3 linked regions of the Rhinolophus ferrumequinum genome follow. The protein of the gene in region 1 purifies or fractionates together with the protein of each later gene. This does not show direct contact. Links are inferred from orthologs where the notes say so. Each region holds a gene or a part of one and is shown in the gene's direction. Other genes may lie near its edges.

Region 1 (7,502 bases):
CCCCCCCAGACCTAGAATCACAGTCTGGGGGCCCTGTGATCTGTGTTCTATTCAGCCCTTGGGGACTCTGATGCTCACCACATTTAAGAGCCACTGGTTTAGGGAAATCAGCCTTACACTAGGATAGGCATCCTTTAAGAAACACAGAGCCCAGAATGTAGCCGTAGAGATTTATGCTCAGAAACTCCGCCTGACGACAGCTTTGCCCTATGTGACAGCTGACACACCGTGCTTCCTGGTGGTGTGGGTCTAGGGCTCCAGCACGGGCCACAAGACACCAACCATCAGGGATCCGTTAGCTGTCTGGTCTCTGGACTCCATCTGTCTAAATGGACCAAATGTGCCAAATTCACATCAAAAGAGGACACTGTGTGGCAGAGATTGGGTACATACTGAGATGCTCTCTCACAAAGGTTTACAAATGGCTGTCTGGAATCAGAGCGGGAGTCCCACTGTCTTGCAACACTTCGGCTTATTCCAGCCCTTTTTTGCACACACCATGTATTCTCAGGGCAGCGCCCTGTGTGTGAGTAATGCCTTTCCAACTGACACTGGAGTCGTATAGTGGAGGGTCCAGTTCCCCAGCCACACACCTGGCTTCCCTGAAGAAAGGACCCAAAGCAAGCCTGGAGCTCCTAGTACGGTCGTGTCCTGGACCGGGGTGCTGTGCGTGGCTCCCATGTGACCGAGACACAACCCATCCAGGAGCAAGGCCTTCCCTCCGAGTCATCCACACTTCCCCACCATCTACTGAATAGAAACCATTTTGCACTTTTTTCTCTCTTTCCAGGAATGGCACGAAATAGACTCTGGTGGGAGTTACGTGCTCAGGAGAAGGAAGACATCACGTCAGTCTCCTGGATGCTGGCGTGACCTTGCCTGGGTGCTTCTTCTCTTCCTCACAGACAGCTCTGATTCCTGCCTCTGTCTCCTTCAAAACTGAAGGCCCCCAGTCCTCCGCCAAAGTTCAGATTCCTTTGTTGTCTTCAAGGACAAGGCCGCTGCCTGCAAGTTGTTTAGCCCAGTAAGGAAGGCGGACAAGTAAACAGGCACCAGCAATAAAGTGCCATGAATGCCACTGGTGTGGAGGAGGTGGGGAGGGTGTCACAAAGGTGGGAGACATCCTGTCCAGAGGCTGAGATGCCACGGAGGGGCGCATGCCTTCCGTGGGTGTCCCCCAGGCAGATACTGACCTACATTTGTTTACCTGCAGCCTCCCTGGGCAGGGCCTGTGGTGTAGGTGGGGACTGTACCTTTGCTGCCTAGCAGTTCAGAAATGTTTATTGCTCTGGCTGCATTAGATTACCACGGTTTAGGACACTAGCCCTCTACACAGCCACACCCTTCGCCACCTCTGTACACACCAGATAACCTTCAGTTCCCTTCCAGCAGCTCCGAATGTCTGTTCTATGCATCCACTGTGACAGGCTAGTGCAAGAAGAAAAACCATGCTCGCCCCCTGTAGCTCATCCTCAAGTAGGGGCGACAGGAACTTAAGTGACTAACAATCACTTTAAAACACACTGGAGGTTAGAGAAAGCTGAGAAAGGGTTGTCAAAGAGGGAGGCCAGCTGGCCAATCAGAGGCCCCTCACAGAGGCACAAGGTTCTCCATCCACACAGACTTGATCTTGCTAAGGGGGCTAATTCATGCCAAACAGATTCACAGCCACCAATATGGAAACAACCGGAAGGCCAATTTACTAATTAGCTTTTTCAGCAGCTATCCGTGTCCGCCGTCCAGGCACACACCGAAATGCAGGACCCATTCAACAAGGATATCATAAGCACCAAATGCCCATAAACTGAGCACCTGACTGGAGGAAGGAATAGCCAAATGAGGCAAAGAGATCCAGAAACAGGAGGCGGAAGCATGCAATGAGCTTGGCTTCAAACAAGCTCGAGTTCAAACACTGTCCACTTTTTACTAGACAGATGACTCTGGAAAAATTACTCAACCTCCCTGAGTCTCTTTGTCATCTGTAAAACGGGCATAACAACACTCCCTCATTGACTCTTAAAGAATTACATTAGATTACATATGAAAATTACCTAATTTAGTTTATATTTACCTGGAGAGGCTGTGTCACATAATAGTTAAGGGAACAGATTTTGAGATCATACAGATCTGGGTCTGACTTCTAGCTCTGCTACTTAATAGGTATTATCTTGGGCAAGCTGCTTAGTTTTTTTCCACTAAACCTCAGTTTGCTCGCTTGTAAAGTGGGAATAAAGATTCTTCCTAGGGGCTAAGAAGTAAATAAGATAGTGTATTCAAAGGACTTAGCAAATACCTAGGTTATGAGAGGCATTCAACAAATGGAATGGTTAAGACTAAGTTTAAAATGTTGTGTGTGATTAGATGCAGATGACTGGTACTGTTGACATATGTCCAAACCTGTAGAGAATTTTTACAAGTTTATTTGAGCCAAAACTGACATAAATTGCTGGGAAGCTAGATCTCAAATGCTTTGGAAAATGAGTTTCACGGTTTCTTTCATGCATTTGAAATTAAGGAGGGACTGTAAGAAAGATTACATGAAGGTGGGAGAAAGTGAGGTGGGGGACTGGATTACAGGACAGTTAAGAACATTATAAAAAAAATAAAGTCCTGGAAGTACACATCGTTCCCCAATAAAGTCCTGTTCCCCTTCCCCAATAAAAAAATAAATAAATAAAAAAAATAAAAAAAAGAACATTATGTGCTCTCTTGAGGATGGTTATGCTTGTTTCAAGGTGTGTTAACCTAGATGTACAAAAACAATAGACAGCGCTTGCTTAAGGCAAAGATGAACTTTTTGCTAAAAAGTTATATGCCTAGGGCGTGACTACCCACCATGACGCACCCAGTTGGGAATTTAGGATCATTTCACCCTGTGGTTGTTTTCTGTAGAACCCCTTTTTTGTCCACAGTACACATACTCTAAATTAAAGTTAAAATTAGCACAAACTTTTTGAATGAAATTAAATATGGGGCCACCAAAAAAGTAACCACTTTGTATTATTTAAATACCTTTTCTGAGGAGGCAGGCTACTTACCTCACACTAGTCTCATGCCCTTATTTTCCAACGGGGTTTCTAAAATAATGTCATTTGCATGTAGTCATGCAAACTCAAACGTTCCAAATACCACTATACTAAGACATGCTCCGCAGCGACCCAGAAGCAGCCTTTCTGGGATCTACCTTTGTAGTTTGTCCTATGGAAACCCTGGCACCCACAATGTATTACACGTGTGGTTTACACGGATGTATATACTGTAATTTTAACAAAAGCCCCTGCACCAAAGGACACAAATCACCTCTCTCAGTTTTAGCTCTTTATTCTCCCCACAGACACTGTCAATCTTAAAATGGTTTAGAAAAGCTTGTAAGTCATAGAAGAGTGATCTTGAATTTTAATAAAATTAATGTATCTTTCAATTCTAACTTTCTTGAAAATTCGACTGATCTACTACAATGGGCAGCCCCTTATCCACCTCATCCTGTCCTGAACAACATTACCACTTTATCCAAAGCTGGGGAAACCATGGCGGCTTAGAGACCACCACGGCAGGTTAGAACCAACAGCTCCGTTACTTGGCGCTTGTTCTTTTAGTCATGCATTTATTCAAATACAGTCAAGGTGGACTGACTTTTTACAATCGCAACTGAAAGTTTTACACAAGATGTTTCTGAAAGAGTGGGAGAGTTTCTGTAAGGTCAACGAAACTAAAATATGAACGGCTCTCACCGTCTGGGCTTATTTTGAGCACACTGGTAGTGGAGCACTAGAACACGGTCACCCCTTCCAAGATGCGCTTTCAGGAGGTCCTGAAAACGGATGGACGAGTGACCTGCCAAACTAGGTGCGTAGGCCGGGTGCCGGGGAGGGAGCCAGGGAGGCGGGCGATGGAGCCTCACGACGACCCTGCAATGGTGACTTGGTGAGTCACGGTCACCGCGGCCACGCAGACCTGAGCTTCGGAAGATACAGGGCAGCACTACAATGAAACTCCCAGGCCCAGCCTCCAATTTCCACTGTATGCCCAGGCCTAGGAAGTGGGGAGAAAAAAATAACTTCCCCAAGACCCGAAAGCGGGCGTCCCCGGGGGACGCAGAGGGCAGGGCCGATCCCCCGCCCCATCGAGGCTACGAGCCCACCACGGGGAGAACGCCGGCGGGAACGCGGCAGGCCAAACGGCAGGGGAGGAGAACCAACCGCCATCTACCCCCGGGAGCCCAAACCGACAAAGCGCGACCCCGCGGCCGAAGCCCGCTGTCGCGGCTCACCGGGTCTCGCGAGACCGCGAAGACTTCTGGGAAAAGCGGGGGAAAGGGAGGGCAGGTGAAGGAAGCCGGGACCCGGAGCTGGGGGCGGGATGAGGCGGCGAGTGGAGCCTCAGGAAGCAGAAGGGGCGGTGGAGGTTGCGATTGACGCGGCACGCAGGCCAATGACGAGTAAGCTCGGGCGGGCTTCTGGCCAATGGGCTGTGCCGCTTGGCGCTGGGGGCGGGCGCTGGGGCCGAGGGTAGCTTGAGCGCGGCGGCGGCGTTGTTCAGTCACAGCGAGAACATTCCAGAGGTGAGTCCTGTGGGGAGGTGGCGGCCCCGCGCCCCCTTCCCAGCCTTCCCCGCCCCCTCGACCCCCGCGGGCCGCTGGCTGGCGGGGAAGGCGCCCCGACGCCCGCGGCTCACGGCGCCGTCTCTCCGCGCCAGGTCGCCAGGCCCCGGGCGCTGAAGGGTGTGGACCCCGGACGTCGCTGGGACAGCCCCTCCCCGCTGCTCGGCGGCGCCTGCCTGGCCGCTGGTCGCTGTGCTCCTCCGCCGCCTCCGCCGCCCCTCCTCGGACTCGGGTTCACACGCGCCTCACTTCATCCCAGTCCCGGGCGAGCAGCGTTGGGTTTATGTCTTTATTTGACGAAAACGGTGAGTCCGCGGGCGGCGCGGGCCGGCGGGGAGATGGCGGCCGCACAAGATGGCGGCGCGCCGCGTGACCCGGCGCGTGTGGCGCAGTTCGGGCGGGCGGGCGGCGGGGCCCGGCGAGCGGGCGCCCCCTCCCCTCCTACACCCGGCCCCTCTCCCCTCCCCCGCGCCTCCGCCTGACGGGAGCGCGCCGCGCGGGCCCGCCGCCGGGGCTGAGTCAGGCCTCCTTGCTGCATTTATGAGTCATCGCTCGCTCCGGGGCGGGGCGGGGGCGGCCCGGGCTGGCGCCCCTCGGCAGGTTTCGTTTCCCTCGCCCCGCGGTGCCGTGGCTCTGCGCCCGCGGAGGCCGGCACATGCGGGGTGTCTGCGGCCCGCTCCACCTGCCGCGGAGGACAAGCCTGGCGATGTCGCGCCTCGCAGGCGGTGCTGGGCGCAGCCTTTGGCAGCTGCGAACGAAACGACTCGTGGCCATGGGGACGGGAGCGAAGGTTAACTGTGTGTTTGCGTAGAGCAGAGCAAGGGAGAGGAGGTCGAGGTCGGGCCACTCCGTCCCTCGGTGCACGCTCGCTCCAAGGAGACCTCGTTTCCTGTGTGTTATGGGAGTGTTTCTTTGAAGTAAGCATTTGTTGCCGAAGGAACCATTTGTGAAGAAGAGTTTCATAGTTTTCCGTCTTAAAATGACGATTCGTGGGGAGAGTGTATGGGAGCTATCAATACAGGCTCGGTTTGGGGGAGGAGAGGTTTTGTGTTCGTTTTTCATCAGTTGTTAAAATAAGGGCCACTCCACAGAAGTTGGCCTGTTACAATGCTGGGAAGCAGCGCAGTTTGTTGCTTTTAGTCTGGCGTTTCCCTGCCAGAGTCACATCTTAATCAAAATGGAGGCCTTTTATGTTGCTACAGGTGTTTCGTGTTAGGTGAAAATACACATCCTTTTTCACGCGAACCGGGCATGCTTTTCAACATGAGAAAATTAGGCATAACTAACTGGAATGTAAAGGGAGGCGTTTCCATACGGGAGTCATGCTAAGTGTGTGCGGGGTTGTGTGTTCTCCTTTTCTCTTTCAGAGCTGTTGCGCAGCCATTGGTACCTGTATTGGGGAAACATAGCATACAAGCAAGAAGCTTACAGCCTCAGTGGCGAAAACTTTTTCATGTCAGAGACCGAGAACTCTTGCAGTCGTTTATGTCATCCCTTCTTCTCCAGACAGAAGATACCAAAAAGTTGCAATCAAAGATCTCTTCATCTTATTGATAAAGCCACTAATAAGCCAAAATGTCTGTCAACGTCAACCGCAGCGTGTCAGACCAGTTCTATCGCTACAAGATGCCCCGTCTGATTGCCAAGGTAATACGGATCTTCATTTTAGTAGCAAGTCCTAAACTCCTTGCAGTTTTTTTTTGTTTGTTTTTTTTTAAGATTGTATCTCCTGGGTAGACAGTTCAAAATTAAATTCTTATTTTCTTTAGGTTGAGGGCAAAGGAAATGGAATCAAGACAGTTATAGTCAACATGGTTGACGTTGCAAAGGCGCTTAATCGGCCTCCAACGTGTAAGTAATGTCTCTTGAAGAAGTTTGAAAAGGCATATTATTGATGTAGTCATAATCATCTTTTGATTTGCATATCTTGTCTGAATTATTTACTAATTAGCTCAAGGGTTAAGTGGAACCTTGGAGTTAAAACACAACTTACTAGTTGCTAGTTGCCATTAGTACAAAGAACTACCCAGGCAACACACTTTTTTAATCTAATATAAAAACATAGGGAGTGATACTTGTATCAGTGTGGCTGAGTAGCCAAAGATGAGTTAAATGTAATGAATCAAACCTTTTTTATCCAACTAGATCCCACCAAATATTTTGGTTGTGAACTGGGAGCACAGACCCAGTTTGATGTTAAGAATGACCGTTACATTGTCAATGGATCTCATGAGGCGAATAAGCTGCAAGACATGTTGGATGGATTCATTAAAAAATTTGTTCTCTGTCCTGAGTGTGAGAATCCTGAAACAGAGCTGGTGAGTGCCTTTGAAGTTTTTGTCAATAAGAGAAGAAACAACATTGCTTTTGTGATCAGTTCTGTGATCGCTCCAAATCGTGTTCTTCAGAAGGCCGAGCGGACGTAATGTACAAATTTTGGAGATATTCCCATGCTAATTTTTTAAAGTAGATCACTGGAGGAGGGGGAGAATTCTTTGGTACGTTAAGACAGGGTTTTAGATGTCTTAATGGTAGTTGGGTATTTTCACACTTTTTCCTTACAGAATTTTCGTGTATAATGGATGACATACTTGTTTTTAATTTTTTTTGGCAGCATGTCAATCCAAAGAAGCAAACAATAGGTAATTCTTGTAAAGCCTGTGGTTATCGAGGCATGCTTGACACACATCATAAACTCTGCACATTCATTCTCAAAAACCCACCTGGTAAGTCTTCGTGATGAACTTCTAAGATCTTACTGTAAAGCAACTGTTTATTGGAAAGAAAAGGGAAGTTGGTTGCTTGCTATAAATTGGAATATAAGGAACTTACAATCCTTGCATTGTGATTTATTGAAGACATCATGTTAGGATGGGTGAAATAGGTATTGAAATACAGATTG
Region 2 (7,424 bases), on another chromosome or scaffold:
GGACCACAGTGAAGGCATTTGTTTCTGAAAAAGGGAGGTGGCAGGATAGAACAGAGCCGAGTGGGGCAGGGCCCAGTGGAGGGGAGCGGCTGAAGCCAGCCCTGGCTGGAACGCCCCCTTCAGAGTGGAGGCATTAGCAGTCCCCGCTTCTGGGGGCTGCCTGAGAACTAGTTGAGCGAAACCGTGTGATGTCTTAGAACAGTGCCTGGCAGCTGGGTTTGTTACTGCATGGTACAGCGAGGACCAAGGCGGAAACGCTCCCCACCCTACGGACCCCTCGAGCTTGTTCCAAGGTCATGTATGTCACACTGAGGAAACAGGCTCAGAGAAGATAAAGAACTTGCTCAAGGTCCCCGGGAGTCGAACAAGGGCTGTCTGATTCCTGACCATGCCCCCCATCTGCAGAGAGGGGGCAAATCAGCCTTTGCAGAAGGCAGAGGTAGGCTTGGTCAAGTGAGAAGCGTGCATGATGTGGGCCATATTTGATGGACCCTGTGAGTCCACCTATCCCTCTTCACTCTTCTCCCTGCTCTGTGAGCTTACAGACAGCCCTGTTCAGATCAAATATCCTGCAGAAATGACAGAAACTCATCTGAGAGCTGCGTACTATGTTAGGAACGTAAGGAGTGAAACAGCAACCCCATTTCATTACCTGCAGAGGGCGGGCCGAGATCGCCACCTGGAGGCGAGGTGTTTCTTCTGCGGATTCCTTAATTCTGTCCACGACTCCCAACACCCAAAGGGGACGATTCACCTAGGAAAAGACTAAGGCCGTCAATTCAGCATCCAGCTCAGGTTACCATCTGGCTGGCAGGAGGACTACCACCAGAACTGACGGCTTTCAAGAATTGTTTTCTTTTTAAAACATTTTATTTTGGTAAAATATACACAAGATAAAATTTATCATCTTAACCATTTTTAAGTGTCCAGCTCAGCGGCATTGAGCACATTCACATTGTTGTGCAGCCATCACCACCGTTCGTCTCCAGAAGTTTCCATCTTCCCAAACTGACACTCTGTCTCTGTGAAACACTCACTCCCCAGCCCCAATAACCACCGTTCTACCTTCTGTCTCTATGAAGTGACTCCTCTAGGGACCTCATCTGACTGGAATCATATAGTGCTTGTCCTTTTCCGTCTGGCTTAGTCACTTAGCATAATGTCCTCAAGGCTCATCCATGGTGTGCTTGAGTCTTTTCTTTCTTTCCAGAATAACGAGACAATGCTCCAGCAATATTCCCCTGTGATCAACAGGATTTTTTAAAAATAGCATTATGAACAAAAGGATTTAAACATACTTTATGAATGTCATATTGAGTTTTTAGTCTTTTTGAGGCTCAAATTGTTGCAATGGGGGGGGGCCTCTTAAAGTCCTTTCCCCAAAAAATTTACTATAAAAACGTTCAAACACTCAGAAAAATTGAAAGAATTTTACAGTGAACAGTCACAAAGCATTCACTTAGATTCTACAGTAAACATTTTTCTTTGGCCAACACCACCAATACTACTTACCATCATCAAACCCTGTCTTCAGTTTAATGTATATCCTTCCAGGCCTCTTTCTATGTATTTTACATAGTTACCTATCGTATGAGTGTGCTTGGGCTGTCATAACAAAACACCACAGAGAGAGCGGCTTAAACAGAAATTTATGTCTCACAGCTCTGGAGGCTGGAAGTCCAAGACAAGGTTTCGACAAGGTTGGTTTTCCCTGAGGCCTGTCCTAAGACATGGCTGGGGCTGCAGCCATCTGAAGGCTTGACAGGGGCTGGAGGATCCACTCCCATTTCACGTGTCTGGCAAGTTGGTGCTAATGTAGGGTAGGGAGCTCAGTTCTTCCAATGGGGGCCCCTTCAGATGGCTTGAGTGTCCTCAGGACATGGTGGCTAGCTTCTTTCAGGGCCAGTGACCAGAGAGAGAGAGAGAGAGAGAGAGAGAGAGAGAGAGAGAGAGAGAGAGAGAGAAAGCCCAAGCCAGGTGGAAGCTCATCATTTTCAGGACCTAGACATGGAAATCACCTAAAATCCCTTCTTCCACATCCTGTTCATTAGAAGTGACTAAGTCCACCCCCACTTTGGGGGAGCAGGGTTTGGCTTCCACTTTTGAAAGGAGTACCTAAGAATTTGTGAACTTATCACAAATGCACCACTACACACACTTCTGTCATGTTTGGACCCACAAACGTTGCTCCGATCACACAGTCATTCTAAGACGGCAAGAATCATACATTCTTTTCTGACCAGGCACAGGCAGATCTGAGGTACGGCAGGTTCCACTCCAGACCACAGCCGTAAAGCGGATACTGCAATAAAGCGAGTCACGAGGATTTTCTGGTTTCCTAGTGCATATAAAAGTTATCTTTACACCATACTGTCAGCTATTAAGTAAGTGTTCAATAGCATTATGTCTAAAAGAATAATGTACATGCCTTAATTTAAAAATATTCTATTGCTAGAAAATGGTAACCATCTAACCATCATCTGAGCCTGTTGGAAAAAAGGCACCGATAGACCTGCTCCCCACAGGGCAGCCACAAGCCTGCAACTCGTAAAGAAAACAGCACCTGTGAAGCAGAGTACCCACTTGGGTGCTCCTACCACCTGGATATCAGCTGCAGCCCTTCTCAGACCTTTGAGGCTGGTGGCACTGCTGAGGGTGTTGGCGCTCGCTCTAGGGCACTAGCGGATATTGGAAAACGCATATTTTTTTCCCTTTCATGAGTTCATTCATAACTTTCCCTGCATTAAAGCACATGCCAAGTCCCTTCACCGGGGAATAGCAGTGAGCGGCCACTCTATGTAGCACGTGCATGCCACAGAGGTCTTCCCTGAAAAGCATGAAGCTGCCAAACCTACATCAGCTGTTTCCAAGCTTTCCGGGAGTGTCTATCCTCGATCACATCTGTCACTGTTAGCACTTTCTAGAAGAAAAGGGCTAGCAGAGCCCAACGATCTGTGAAAACTGCGGATGAAACTAGAAATTAGGAAAACTTTGACCTCTAGGAGGAATCGGTTTGTCTTTATGAAACGAGTCCACAGGCCACGCACATAAAATGGGTTACTCCCCATTTTACAGACAGGGAAACTGAGGCAGAGAAGTCAAGTGACCTGCCCAAAGTTACAGCTGAAAGTAAGATGGGGAAGATTCAAACTTAGTATGAGGCAACACAAGAACACGTTTTTTTCTTTTCAATTGAAGTAAAATATACATTAAATTTACCATTTTAGCCATTTTCACTGCACAGTTCTGTGGCATTAAATACATTCACAATGTTGTGTATCCATCACCACTCTCCATCTCGGCAACTTTTCATCTTCCCAAACTGAAACTGTTCCCATTAAACAACTCCCCGGTCCTCTACCCCCAGCCACTCAGTTCTTTTTTTGGATGATTAAAACACCTCCAACGAGCGGTTGCCCTCACGCCTGGCAATAAGCAAAGTACAAGACACAAATACAGAATACCCTTTCCGAAGGGAGCAAGCCCGAGCCAGACTTGTCGCGCCGCCTCCTGTCACTCACCGGGGGCAGCTTCCAGCTCCTGGCCCCGCCCCGGCCCCGAGCACGTGGTTCGCGCTCGCTCCCGCGTCCGAGGGCCCAGGCTTCTGCGGACAGAACCATGGTGACCATCAGAATGGGGAAAGGCGGAATTACAGCCTCCTCGATGGGCTTGGGCATACCTGATGAAAGCAACTCTCATTTACTTTTGTATTGCGCTAGAGAGCGTCTTTCTAGGAGTGCTGGCCATCTCTGGCTTACCAGGAATTCCTTTTGTATTTTGGAATCGTCCATTCTTGTGCCCAGTCAGTAGACGAGTCTAAAAACCGACATGTCAAGGGGGGGACTCAGTAATGTAAGCGAAACTGCCCGGTGAAAGGCTGAGACATCACAACCAAAATAGTTTGTTGAACTTACAATTTTTTCTAGTATTAATCTTTGAGCTATGCTTCCACACAATTCTGAATACTAAGCTGACTTCTGGTACCTCCGATCGGCGTCATAAATAGTTTAGTCCTTCGCCGTAGCGCCCGACGGGAGAAGGACGAGAGTGGCTGCCATATTGGGCGAAACCATCCTCTACCAAAAGTAGGGTGGTTATAGTTCCCAATGAGTTTGTACGTTGAGCCGAGGAACTGTGGTGATTGGAACTGAGCACGTACTTGTCAGGGGAGCACGATCGTAATCACTGGTAGACGCACTTCTGCCCTCTGAGTTCCTCCGGCCACGCTGTGAGGCAGCAGGGCGTGGACGCGCACCCCTCTGATCCTCGTGGGATGCCCCGCCGCACGCACATGGCCCGGCGGTAGGCGCGGTGCGGCCTGGGAGAGTCGGAAGCGCGGCGAGGCCGGGCGAGGCGGCAGCGGCGGGCTCATGCAGGACTCAGAGAACGTGGCGGCGCCGGAGGCGGCCGAGGAGCGGGCCGAGCCCGGACAGCAGCAGCAGCTGGACGCCGAGCCGCCACCGGCCGAGGAGCCGCCGCGGCTCGCGGGGCTCGGCGCGCAGGAGGCGGCGGGCGGAGAGGACGCGGAGGCGGAGGCTGAGGCTGAAGCAGAGGCCGGGCCGGGGCCTGAAGTGCCGGCCGAGCCCGCGGCCGACGGGGAGGAAGCGGCAAGCGCGACCCCCGCCCCGTCCCTGCAGTCGCCCGAGGAGTCCCCGGACCCTGCCGTGGGCGAGGCCCCTGGGGAACAGGCCAGGGACGCGGCAGCTGAGGCCCGGTCCGACGGAGCGGGTGAGGAGCTGGGCGGCGCGGCTGAGGACGGCGACGCGGACGAGCCCTCCTTCAGCGACCCCGAGGACTTTGTGGACGACGTGAGCGAGGAAGGTAGGGCGGCTGGGCCTGGCTGCGCGAAGGTGCTCGAGGCCCCGGACGCGGCCCGGGTCCCGGTGCGCCGCGGGAGTCGGCGGGGGGCGTCTCCATTCTACACCTGTGGTCCCGCACGTAGGGAGGCTTTTCCGTGGGAGCCCGGACTGCCTTTTCTCCAGGAGTGGGGGGGGCAGGATGAAGACAACTTGGGGAGCCGGCCATTCCTGCGGCCAGGTGTTTGGAGGTCGAGGGCAGAGGCGTGTAGCGGGCGCTGAGGCCGTGCGTGCGGCGGTGTGGCATTTAGGGTCGCGCGGAGCAGGACGCCCCACGAGCGGCGCGGTCTCTGGCGACAGTTCCCCGGCAGCAAGTCTGGGTGCCCTGAGAGTCCGCCACGGCTGTCCGGGTCCTGGAACACCCCCGGGCGGTCCCCTCAGCGGTGGGTGTGATGCCGTCCCCAGAACAGGCTGTGGGTGCCTTGTCTCTGCCCGGCGGAAGGTTGTGCCCTCGTGGAGCCCTTTCGTGGGTCTGTGCCAGGCCGTTCGGCCACGTTCCTCTCCGGGCCCCTCTTTCGGTCAGCCCAGGAGCAGGTCCCCTCCTCCTCCGGCAGGTCGTTTCTCCAGGGTTTGGGGGTGTTGACCACGCCGTGCTCTGCCCTCCTTTAGACTCACAGACGTTTCTTTCTGTTTCCTGCCTGACAGCCTGTCTTCTGAAGTGACTTGATGATAGTTGATCTTACTGTATCGTTTGCTTCTGTTTTGTTTTTAGCCGTTTGAACTCGACAGGCTTGCAGCACATCACTGTACTGACTGCTCTATAGTAAAACGGGAAGGTGGCGCCAGCAGTGACACACCAAGAAAATGAGGTGTCCCGTGTTCAGACACAAAGATTGGAGATGTGTCTGATCGCACTGAGATTGAGTCAGAATCGGAAAGAATGTCAAGCAAAATGAAAAAGTTTAGAAAACCAACATAGATTTGCCAACTTATAAACATGATTCTAAAGGGTTACCTGTTATTGTCACTGTGTTTCATAAGGTAAAAGGCACGTTAGCATGAGAAGCAGGAAAGCCCCCACAAGCTAGTGAAGCCCTGGGAAGGCTTCCCACCAAGCAGGTGGCTGGGAACTGACAGGGAGACAGTGATGCGGGGACGTCCCTGCCCAGACCAGTGTTGTTTTTACCACACGACTTCTGGTGTATTTTGAAATCTAAGTTTTGATTTTCAAAGGCCATTTTGAGCCCTCCAGTATTTACTCTGCAATTGATTTTTTTATAAAGCATTATTTGAAGACATCTAATTCACACAAGATTTTAACGTGAATTATTTCCAAAATTGTGTGTGACAGAGAATGTTAACATGAGCCCAAGGCCAGCCAGGTTAGGTGACAGCTGGGCAGACCTTTTGGAGCCCATGTAATCGTCATGTTTTTGCCAGAGTGACCTGTGAGGCTCCTGGTCCTAAGGAATTAAAACTAAGCAAACCTTCAGTTTTCTTGAGTCCACTTGGTTGTGGTCAGTAGTTCAAGTCTGTTTTGTGTTTCATGAGAACCCCCTGTAGGGGAGCTGAGATGCCCAAGGTACCGCTTCTTTTGAGAATGGACTGAGTCTCGTGCAGCGAGCGCCTCTCACAGGTGCCATGAGGTCCAGCGCTTGAGAGCAGAGCAGCCTCTCCTCTCTGAAACACTGGCCCTTTTGCACAGTTGTGTCTGAATTACAACCATCCTTTCACTTTTAATTTTCAACTGCTTATGGTGCTTGGCCAAACATATATAAAAGTTTTGACTCTTAAGTGTCTTTTTAGTTCATTAAATAGTATTTATGTTTATATCTGCTATTTAGTTTGAGAATTGCTTCTTTCTGTTTCTCTGGGAGCCAGATTGGGAATCCATCAGTCAGGAGTAACCAGCGGTGTAGGCTGGTAGTGATGATGGAAATGTGTTTCTTCACGTATAGTGACTGCATCTATTCCCTTACTGTGCACGGGCAGCTTCTTAAAAAGAATTCTTGTTCCTGTAAAGAACTTTAAGGTTGTGGGAAGGCGTCCACAGTTTGTATAAAAACTGGGCTTTTTATTGTGAACCTTGTAAACTCAGATCAGGCTGAACAGGCCACTTAATTGTATAGTAAGTGGACTTTAAAAAGAACCCAGGGACTGACTCCAGTCTCTGGGGTAGATGCCTCCGTTGCTGTGACTCGAACCTGCCTCTTTCCCTCTTCCCTCTGCTTGGTCTCAATTTTAACTTCTTAGAAATTTAAGTGGCAATTCTTTAGGTAACATTTTCAGTATCATTCATAAAGGGTTGAAATTAATTAGAAATAGTTTATAACAGGGCATGCCTCTTGAAATTAAAGGATGCTTTGCTTTTTGAAAGATTTTTCAACTTACGGAAAATTTCAAACACAAAAGTGGAGAGAATTCTTCTTAACTTTTGAGAAAGAAATGCAGCAAAAAATACTTTGTGTCCAGTTTGGCCTGTTGAAATTCTTAAGAGTATAATAAAGAAATGAGAGTGACAGTTGGGTTCCAGAACACGAGGCACTGTTCCCCAGCTGTTGTTTAAGATGACCTGTGCTCCTGCTAGCTGACGGACTACTGCAGCCCACTCGTGAGTGTGCTTTGGGG
Region 3 (7,122 bases), on another chromosome or scaffold:
GTGACTATTAAATGTCACACTTTGAAATCATTAAAGGGAGAAAAGCAAGCCTTTATCCAGAAGGAACTGTATTTGATGATAACCAGATGGTGCCTGCTGATGAGGAGAACGCTCTATTTCCGATAGAATGGCAGTTTATAAATGTAGGAGAAATAGTAGATTTAGGTAATCATTCTGCAACCCCTAATGATCTAATTTATTCAGTCAAGAATCATGGCTGGATTTGGGTGGTTTTTTTAAACCATATAAACCCTTTCAAGTGTACCATTCAGTGACATTCAGTGCACTCACATTATTATACAACCATTACTACTATTTCCAGAACATTTTTATCTTCCCAAACAGAAACTGGAGCCATTAAACACTACCTCCTCATTCCCTCCTCCCTGTACAGCCCCAATAACCTCTATTTCAATTATCTTGAGAGTATACCTAGGAGTGGGATTGCTGGATCATATGGAATTTCTGTGTTTAATTTTTTGAGGAACTGCCAAACTGTTTCCCATCACAGCAGATGGTTTTTTCATAAAATAACTTTCAAGGCACATCTGAAACACTTGTGCACTTCCCAGATCCCTGCCTACTTTTCCCCCAGACGCAGCCACTATGAGAGTGTGGCTATGTCTCCTTCCTGTCCATGGTTTTTGGCACTTACCACATCTGCATGTCCGTACACTTAGTATTCTCCGTGTCTTTGAAAAAGATAAATGTTATTCTACTGCACATATCTATCTGCAACCTGCTTTTCTCCCTCAAGCATGTTTGGAGTTTTTAGAAAAAGGCCAGCTGTAGAAAAAGTACAGTGAATTCCACAACAAACAAAATGGTCAGCGTTTGTTTCTCCTTTCAGTGTCACAAGGAAGCTTCTCTAATACCCTGTCATTGCCCCGGTGACCATTATTGTGCACATGTGTAATGTGCTTGTAGGCTTTATCTACACTCACATGTAGCCATCTGTGACTACTATTATAATAGAAAACGTGGACAGCGTCAGACAACTACTGATCAGCACCACCTCTATTCCAGTCCCAGTTCTCAGACTGGGCGTGTGGCAATACCGTAGACAGACCAATAAATTTCTGTTGTTAAAGCTGCCCAGTCTGTGGTACTTTGTCATGGAAGCTCTAGCGAACCAATTGAAGTTGTTCCTGGTTTTTGGCCATTGTGAATAAAGCTGCTATGAACAATCCGTGTCTATATTCTAACGCATGGCTTTTTGTGGACATGTTTCCATTTCTTATGGAGAACACCAAGAAGTGGAATCCATATTGTGAGTTATAGCAAACCCCCCTGAAGCTGCTGCAGAGTTTCCAGAGGACGGCATATCATGCTCTCGCTCCCCTCCTCAAGCACATTGCAGAGCTGGGTTTGCTCTGTGCTGGCTGCTGTCCTTTGGAGATGCCAGATGTAGGAAGAAAGTTGGTGCCACCAAGAAGAAACTGAGGAGGGGCTCTGGGACTTTCCCCCATCCACCCTTGGATTCAGTCTTCTCCCCACTGCCCCATGCTTCCTCCGGCCTCCTTTTACGTTTCTTTGGGAAGTACTTGACTTTTTATAAAAATGATACATCCTAGATGTTTAAGAAAAAGTATTCCATGCAGAAAAATACCAAAATGGAAGTAAAGATGAGGCCAAATCGAAACACCCAGAAGCATCCATGTTTAGTGGCTAATGTCCTCTGGGCAGTACAGTGTCTCTCCAGGGGTGGTGCTTGTATGGATGAGGCAACATTTAGCTAATTCTTTATTCATGATGGTTGCATAGTTTTCAGTTTTTCAATCCTTTAAGCCACACTGTGCTGGATACTTCCTTACAATTTAATGCACTTGGATGTATATTTCCTCTCCTAGGCTAGTCCTAGGAGAGGGTATGGAAGGTAGTGGATGTACAAAACATAGTAAAATACATTTATATGTTACATCGCGCATATATTACATAAACACTACATATTAATACATAAAGTATATAAAATAAATTTTATATTTATGTATATATTTATATTTAAATCAAGATAATATATGCATACACATGGTAAAAAATTTTAAATACAGCAGAAAAGTCCAAAAACAAGATTTTCTCCCCTGATGCCTTTCTCAGAGCATCCCTCAGCAACAGTTTGATATTTCTTTTCTGAAAATAGTTTGCATATATCTACATATCTATGTACAATTAAAGATTTACACAAATTGGTTCCTATAGCATATGCCACTTTACATCTTGCTTCCTCCTCTTATCGTGATTTTTTAAAACATGAGCACAAATGAATCTACTTCTTTCAAGACTGCATAGCATTCCATAGATAATGGAAAAAACATACTTTAATCTATTTAACCAGCCCTACCAAATGGACAGATAATTGTTTCTGACTTTTGCTATCATGAACAATCCTGCACGGGTATCTTATTTTCACATCTTTGCAAACATTTACAAGTTTTTCTCACAGTTCAAATTACTAGGTGGCTCAAAGGAAAATACATCTGTGCATTTCAAGTTTTAGTATATGTCAAATTTCCCTCCAAAAAGTTTGCATAATTTCACATACCAACAAAAGGTACAAGCCTCTGTTTCTCTACATCTTTGCTACCTTTGGGTAACATCACATTTTTAAAGTTTTGCCCATCTGCTACGTTGTTTGTATTTTGCATTTCTTGGAGTAAATTTGAGTAAGTGCACAAATGTTTATTGGCCCTTCGTACAAACTTTATATTTTCATCCTTATTTCCAGACCACCCTCTTTCTTTCACTCACTTTCCCAGTCTCCTTCCTGGTCTCTTGCTAATTCATTCTTTTCTACTTTACCCTCTATAGGCTTCCAAAATAATCTTTCTCACAAAAAAATCTGGTCATACTGGGTCACCTCTCAAAACATGTCAGTGATCTCTGGGGTGGCTGGATGGCTCAGTTGGTTCGAGTGCAAGCTCTGAACAACAGGGTTGCTGGTTCAATTCCCCTATGGGATGGTGGGCTGTGCCCCTTGCAACTAAGATTGAAAACAGCAACTGGACGTGGAGCTGAGCTGCGCCCTCCACAACTAGATTGAAGGACAATGACTGATGGGTCCTTGAAAAACACACTGTTCCCCAATATTCCCCAATAAGAATTAAAAAACAAAAAACATGTCAGTGATCTCACCCATACCCACTGCCTACAGGATAAAGAGACTACACTCTTCAGTTTGGTTTAAAAAGTCCTTTATGATCTGATTCCCACTCTGCCCCCCTAAATGCCCATTAATTGAGCACTTACTACATGCAGTCACCCTGTGGGTGCTGGGGACCCACAGGTGAACAAAGTAGGCAAATGTCTGCTTTCTGCAGCTGACATTCTACAACAGTGTTTCACATAATGAAACTTTTTTCATTATCACCCTTGTAAAGGAAAAGGATGGAATTGTCTTTAAATTTAATGTAAGTCAATCAATTTCAATTTAATTGCATTTAATTTCTCCCTAATGACAGAAATTAAATACTTAGTAATAAGATTTTGTCTGAGAGGGTTGGTTTTGGAAGGCCACAAGCCATTGTAATTTTTAAGGATTTTTGCCCCCCACCCGAATTAATTTTGGTCCCCTTGGGAGCCATATCGCTCCCATTGAGAATGCATGCTTTAAAGGGAGAGCTGTACAATAAACAAGTAAGTGTTAAAGATTATATCAGAGAGCCAAGAATTTACAAAGGAAAGAAAGGAGAGTGCTTGAGGGCGCCACTTGACATCTTGAGCATCTGAATCAGGAAGTGCTTTGGAGACGAGGAAGACCAGCCTTGCTTTTTTCAGCTGCAAAATGGAAATGATAATTTTCTCCTCACAGTGCCTAGCACACAGCAAGCGCTTAATGAGTTGGCATAATTGTTATTATTAATTATTTTACTTTATTATTTTTTTACTGAGGTATAATTAACAATTAAAAACAAAAAGGTAAAGGGATAAGCCCTGAGATAACGCTTCTGCTCCTACTTGGGTACTAGCGCGTAGCAGCTCACACAACTGGCGCCTCCCCCTCCGTCCGCAAGGGGCGCTGTGGGCCCCGCGGCCGGGCTGTTCTAGGCCGCGGCAACGGAAGTTTCAGTTTTCCCTCACTTCCTGTCTTTGGCCCAGGCTTGGGCTGCGTGGAGGTTTTGCGATGCCGACTGGAGACTTTGAGTGAGTCGAGGGTCGCCAGAAGGTGGGGTGTGGGGGCGGAAGGTGCCTTAAGGGTCCTCGGGGGTTTTCTGGGGCCTGGGTACGCGGAGGCCGCGGGAGCCTCGCCTCGCTGGCTCACCCCTTTGCTCCCACAAACTTGTCCCCGCAGTTCGAAGCCCAGCTGGGCCGACCAGGTGGAGGAGGAAGGAGAGGACGGTGAGTACGCCAGGTCGTCCGGTCACTGCGCCTGCTCTAGCCCTCTACCTTGGCACCGCCGGCCGACCCCGCATCGCCCCCCACGGCCAGCCTCTGCCCCGCGCCATCCCTATCTGCGCCAGCCTGTCGCCAATTCCAGATGTTCACTGGCCAGTCCCTCTTCCTCCCCAGGCCTCACAGCCCAAGCCCTCATAGCCGCTCCCCTACTCAGGAGGAAGTTGTAACAGCCTGCCTTCTGCCTTTGTACCAGCGCCCGGATGCTTTGATGGCCTGCCCCTCCCTGCCTTTATGCCAGGCGGCCCCCTATCCTTGCCATTGCTCTGGGTCACTACAGCCAGCTCAGTGTCCCCGCACAGCTGTCCCTGGGTACTTCCTGGCCAGCCCTCTGCCCCCGGTCCCACCTTCTTCAGGTCCTGGCGTGGGCATCATCCTAAAGGTCCCTGTATTTCATTCAGCTTGGGAGCTCCCGCCCCTTCACCTCACTTCTCCTCCCCACACTCCCTCTCACAGACAAATGTGTCACCAGCGAACTCCTCAAGGGGATACCTCTGGCCACTGGCGACACCAGCCCAGAGCCTGAGCTACTGCCAGGAGGTGAGTGATGACCTCCACTCCATGCCTGGGCTGCCTCTCTCCCCAGCCACATTTCCGCGGGGACCCCATTACCCGTGGCTCAGTTCCTCTCCCCTTCTCCCTTCATCCAGCTCCACTTCCGTCTCCTAAGGAGGTCATCAATGGAAACATCAAGACAGTGACTGAGTACAAGATAGATGAGGATGGCAAAAAGTTCAAGGTGAGGCTGGGAGCAGGGGTGTGTCAGGCGGGTCCTTGGGCCCAGGAGCCTTGAGGACAGGAAGCCCAAATGTCTCCTCTCCTCTCCTCTCCCATCCACAGATTGTCCGCACCTTCAGAATTGAGACCCGGAAGGCTTCAAAGGCTGTTGCAAGGAGGAAGGTGAGACCCTGCTCCCTTGTCTTGGGGGCTTACCCCAGGGCTAACTCAGAGGAATTAAGAATCCTTTTTCCCAGTGCCTTTATTTTCAGAAGTGAGGTCTAAGAGTTTAACCGATTTTATTGGAGGAGAATTGAGGCGAGGAGTGTTTGTACTCTGTTGAGGCCCCAAACAGTCCAAGTTGCAGGAGTGGTTGGGTAGCTTCTTATGCTTCTTGACTTGTCTACCAGGAGGAACAAAGCTAAACGTTCCCCTGAGGTGGTCATAGCAGTGGAAGTGGTAGCAATAAATCCATTTGGCACAGTTATCTGCACACTGTGTGCCAGACCCCATGCCAAATGCCCTGTGGGAAGTGTTTTCTCATTTTGATCCCCATAGCAACCCAGGGAGGTGGGGAGCATTTGTGATCCCCATTTTATAGGAGAGGAAGCTGAGGCCCAGGTTGTTTAGCCCAAGGCCCCCGAAGTTTGGATGACCCCTGCATACTCCTGAGCATTACTCCCTGGTGGCAGCTGGGCCACCACCTGCACAGCCCCCCCAGGAGCTGTTGGCTGTGCAGGTGTTTCCCTGAGCCTCTGTTCTCTCATCTGGAATATGGGGTGAGAACTGCCCCTGCCTCCTGGAGCTGGCGTGAAGCCTGGCACTCACTCAGGAAATAGGAACTGTCATCGTCACTGCTATAGGGGGCATTTGGAGAGGGTGGAGAATGGGGTTTAAGGCTCAGTCACCCTGAAGGGCGCTGTTGCAGGTCTGGGTACCAGGGGGCGGTGGTCCTACCTGCTCTTGCCCTGACCTGTCCCCACCCTGCCCTGAGCCCAGAACTGGAAGAAGTTTGGGAACTCAGAGTTTGACCTACCAGGGCCTAATGTGGCCACCACCACGGTCAGCGATGATGTGTCCATGACTTTCATCACCAGCAAAGAGGTAAATGAGGCAATAGGGCGGGAAGGTGCTGGCCAGGCTCTTGGTGGCAGGGGTGCAGCAGCCCTCCTCTGAGCTGCCCTTGTCCATCCTGTCAGGATCTGAACTGCCAAGAGGAGGAGGACCCGATGAATAAGCTCAAGGGCCAGAAGATCGTGTCCTGCCGCATCTGCAAGGGCGACCACTGGACCACCCGCTGCCCTTACAAGGACACGCTGGGGCCCATGCAGAAGGAGCTGGCCGAGCAGCTGGGCCTGTCTACTGGCGAGAAGGAGAAGCTGCCTGGAGGTGCCGGGGGCTGGGGGTGCGGCTGGCAGGCCGTGCTGCATGGGGACCATGGTGGAGGGGGAGGCTGTGTGCCCTTCTGGAGAGTCCTGGTCTGTCACCTGCTCTCTCTGAACGGGCTGTCCATCGTAGCTGTTGTTCCCACACCACAGTGTCAGCTCCGCAAAGCCTGTGGGCTACAGTCTGTGTTTGTGTGTGTGTGAGAGACCGGCCGGGTGGGTGTTGTGACGGCTGGTGATGTCACCTGTCTCCTTGTCGGGGGCTGTGAGACCTGCTTGTGTGCATGCCTGTGTACCTCACCGGGAGGAGTGGGGAGACGGCGACCCCGTGAGTGAGACATGCCTGCAGTGATTTTGCTGCGGACTGGAGATGGTCTGACGTGAGTGTGCCGTGTCTGTCTGCCATGGTGCGGCGGCTGCCCCGTGTGTGCTTCTGTGCACACACACCTGCGAGCAGACACACAGCTGACTGTCTGCGGTCCTTGTCCTTCAGCGTGATTTGCTGAGGGTAAGTTTGAGTCCAGACAGCTCTACATCTGACTTTTGGGTGCGGCGTGCTTGTCACCTGCCGTGTGTCCCCTGGGGCTTTTCCCTGCCCCATGTTGCTCTGTGGTGAGAGTAGGCTGAGTAT

What was found.
Region 2: the proteins of EIF5 (region 1) and EIF3B fractionate together in Homo sapiens (co-fractionation; 3 studies listed by BioGRID and IntAct, with this or other methods). This does not show direct contact. The link is inferred for Rhinolophus ferrumequinum from reciprocal best matches to the Homo sapiens genes EIF5 and EIF3B.
Region 3: the proteins of EIF5 (region 1) and EIF3G purify together in Homo sapiens (affinity purification with western blotting; 3 studies listed by BioGRID and IntAct, with this or other methods). This does not show direct contact. The link is inferred for Rhinolophus ferrumequinum from reciprocal best matches to the Homo sapiens genes EIF5 and EIF3G.

Annotation. Positions count from the first base shown.
Region 1 is NC_046289.1:1,845,806-1,853,307, reverse strand, and holds the start of EIF5 (eukaryotic translation initiation factor 5), read left to right. Parts: upstream 1-4,454; 5' UTR 4,455-4,561; intron 4,562-4,695; 5' UTR 4,696-4,905; intron 4,906-5,234; exon of another isoform or gene 5,235-5,517; intron 5,518-5,967; 5' UTR 5,968-6,175; coding exon 6,176-6,247; intron 6,248-6,369; coding exon 6,370-6,451; intron 6,452-6,745; coding exon 6,746-6,918; intron 6,919-7,214; coding exon 7,215-7,326; intron 7,327-7,502.
Region 2 is NC_046307.1:43,408,337-43,415,760, reverse strand, and holds the start of EIF3B (eukaryotic translation initiation factor 3 subunit B), read left to right. Parts: upstream 1-4,328; 5' UTR 4,329-4,370; coding exon 4,371-4,821; intron 4,822-7,424.
Region 3 is NC_046301.1:40,043,112-40,050,233, forward strand, and holds the start of EIF3G (eukaryotic translation initiation factor 3 subunit G), read left to right. Parts: upstream 1-4,036; 5' UTR 4,037-4,120; coding exon 4,121-4,140; intron 4,141-4,288; coding exon 4,289-4,335; intron 4,336-4,845; coding exon 4,846-4,929; intron 4,930-5,039; coding exon 5,040-5,128; intron 5,129-5,229; coding exon 5,230-5,289; intron 5,290-6,105; coding exon 6,106-6,210; intron 6,211-6,305; coding exon 6,306-6,495; intron 6,496-7,122. UniProt on the Homo sapiens protein: RNA-binding component of the eukaryotic translation initiation factor 3 (eIF-3) complex, which is required for several steps in the initiation of protein synthesis.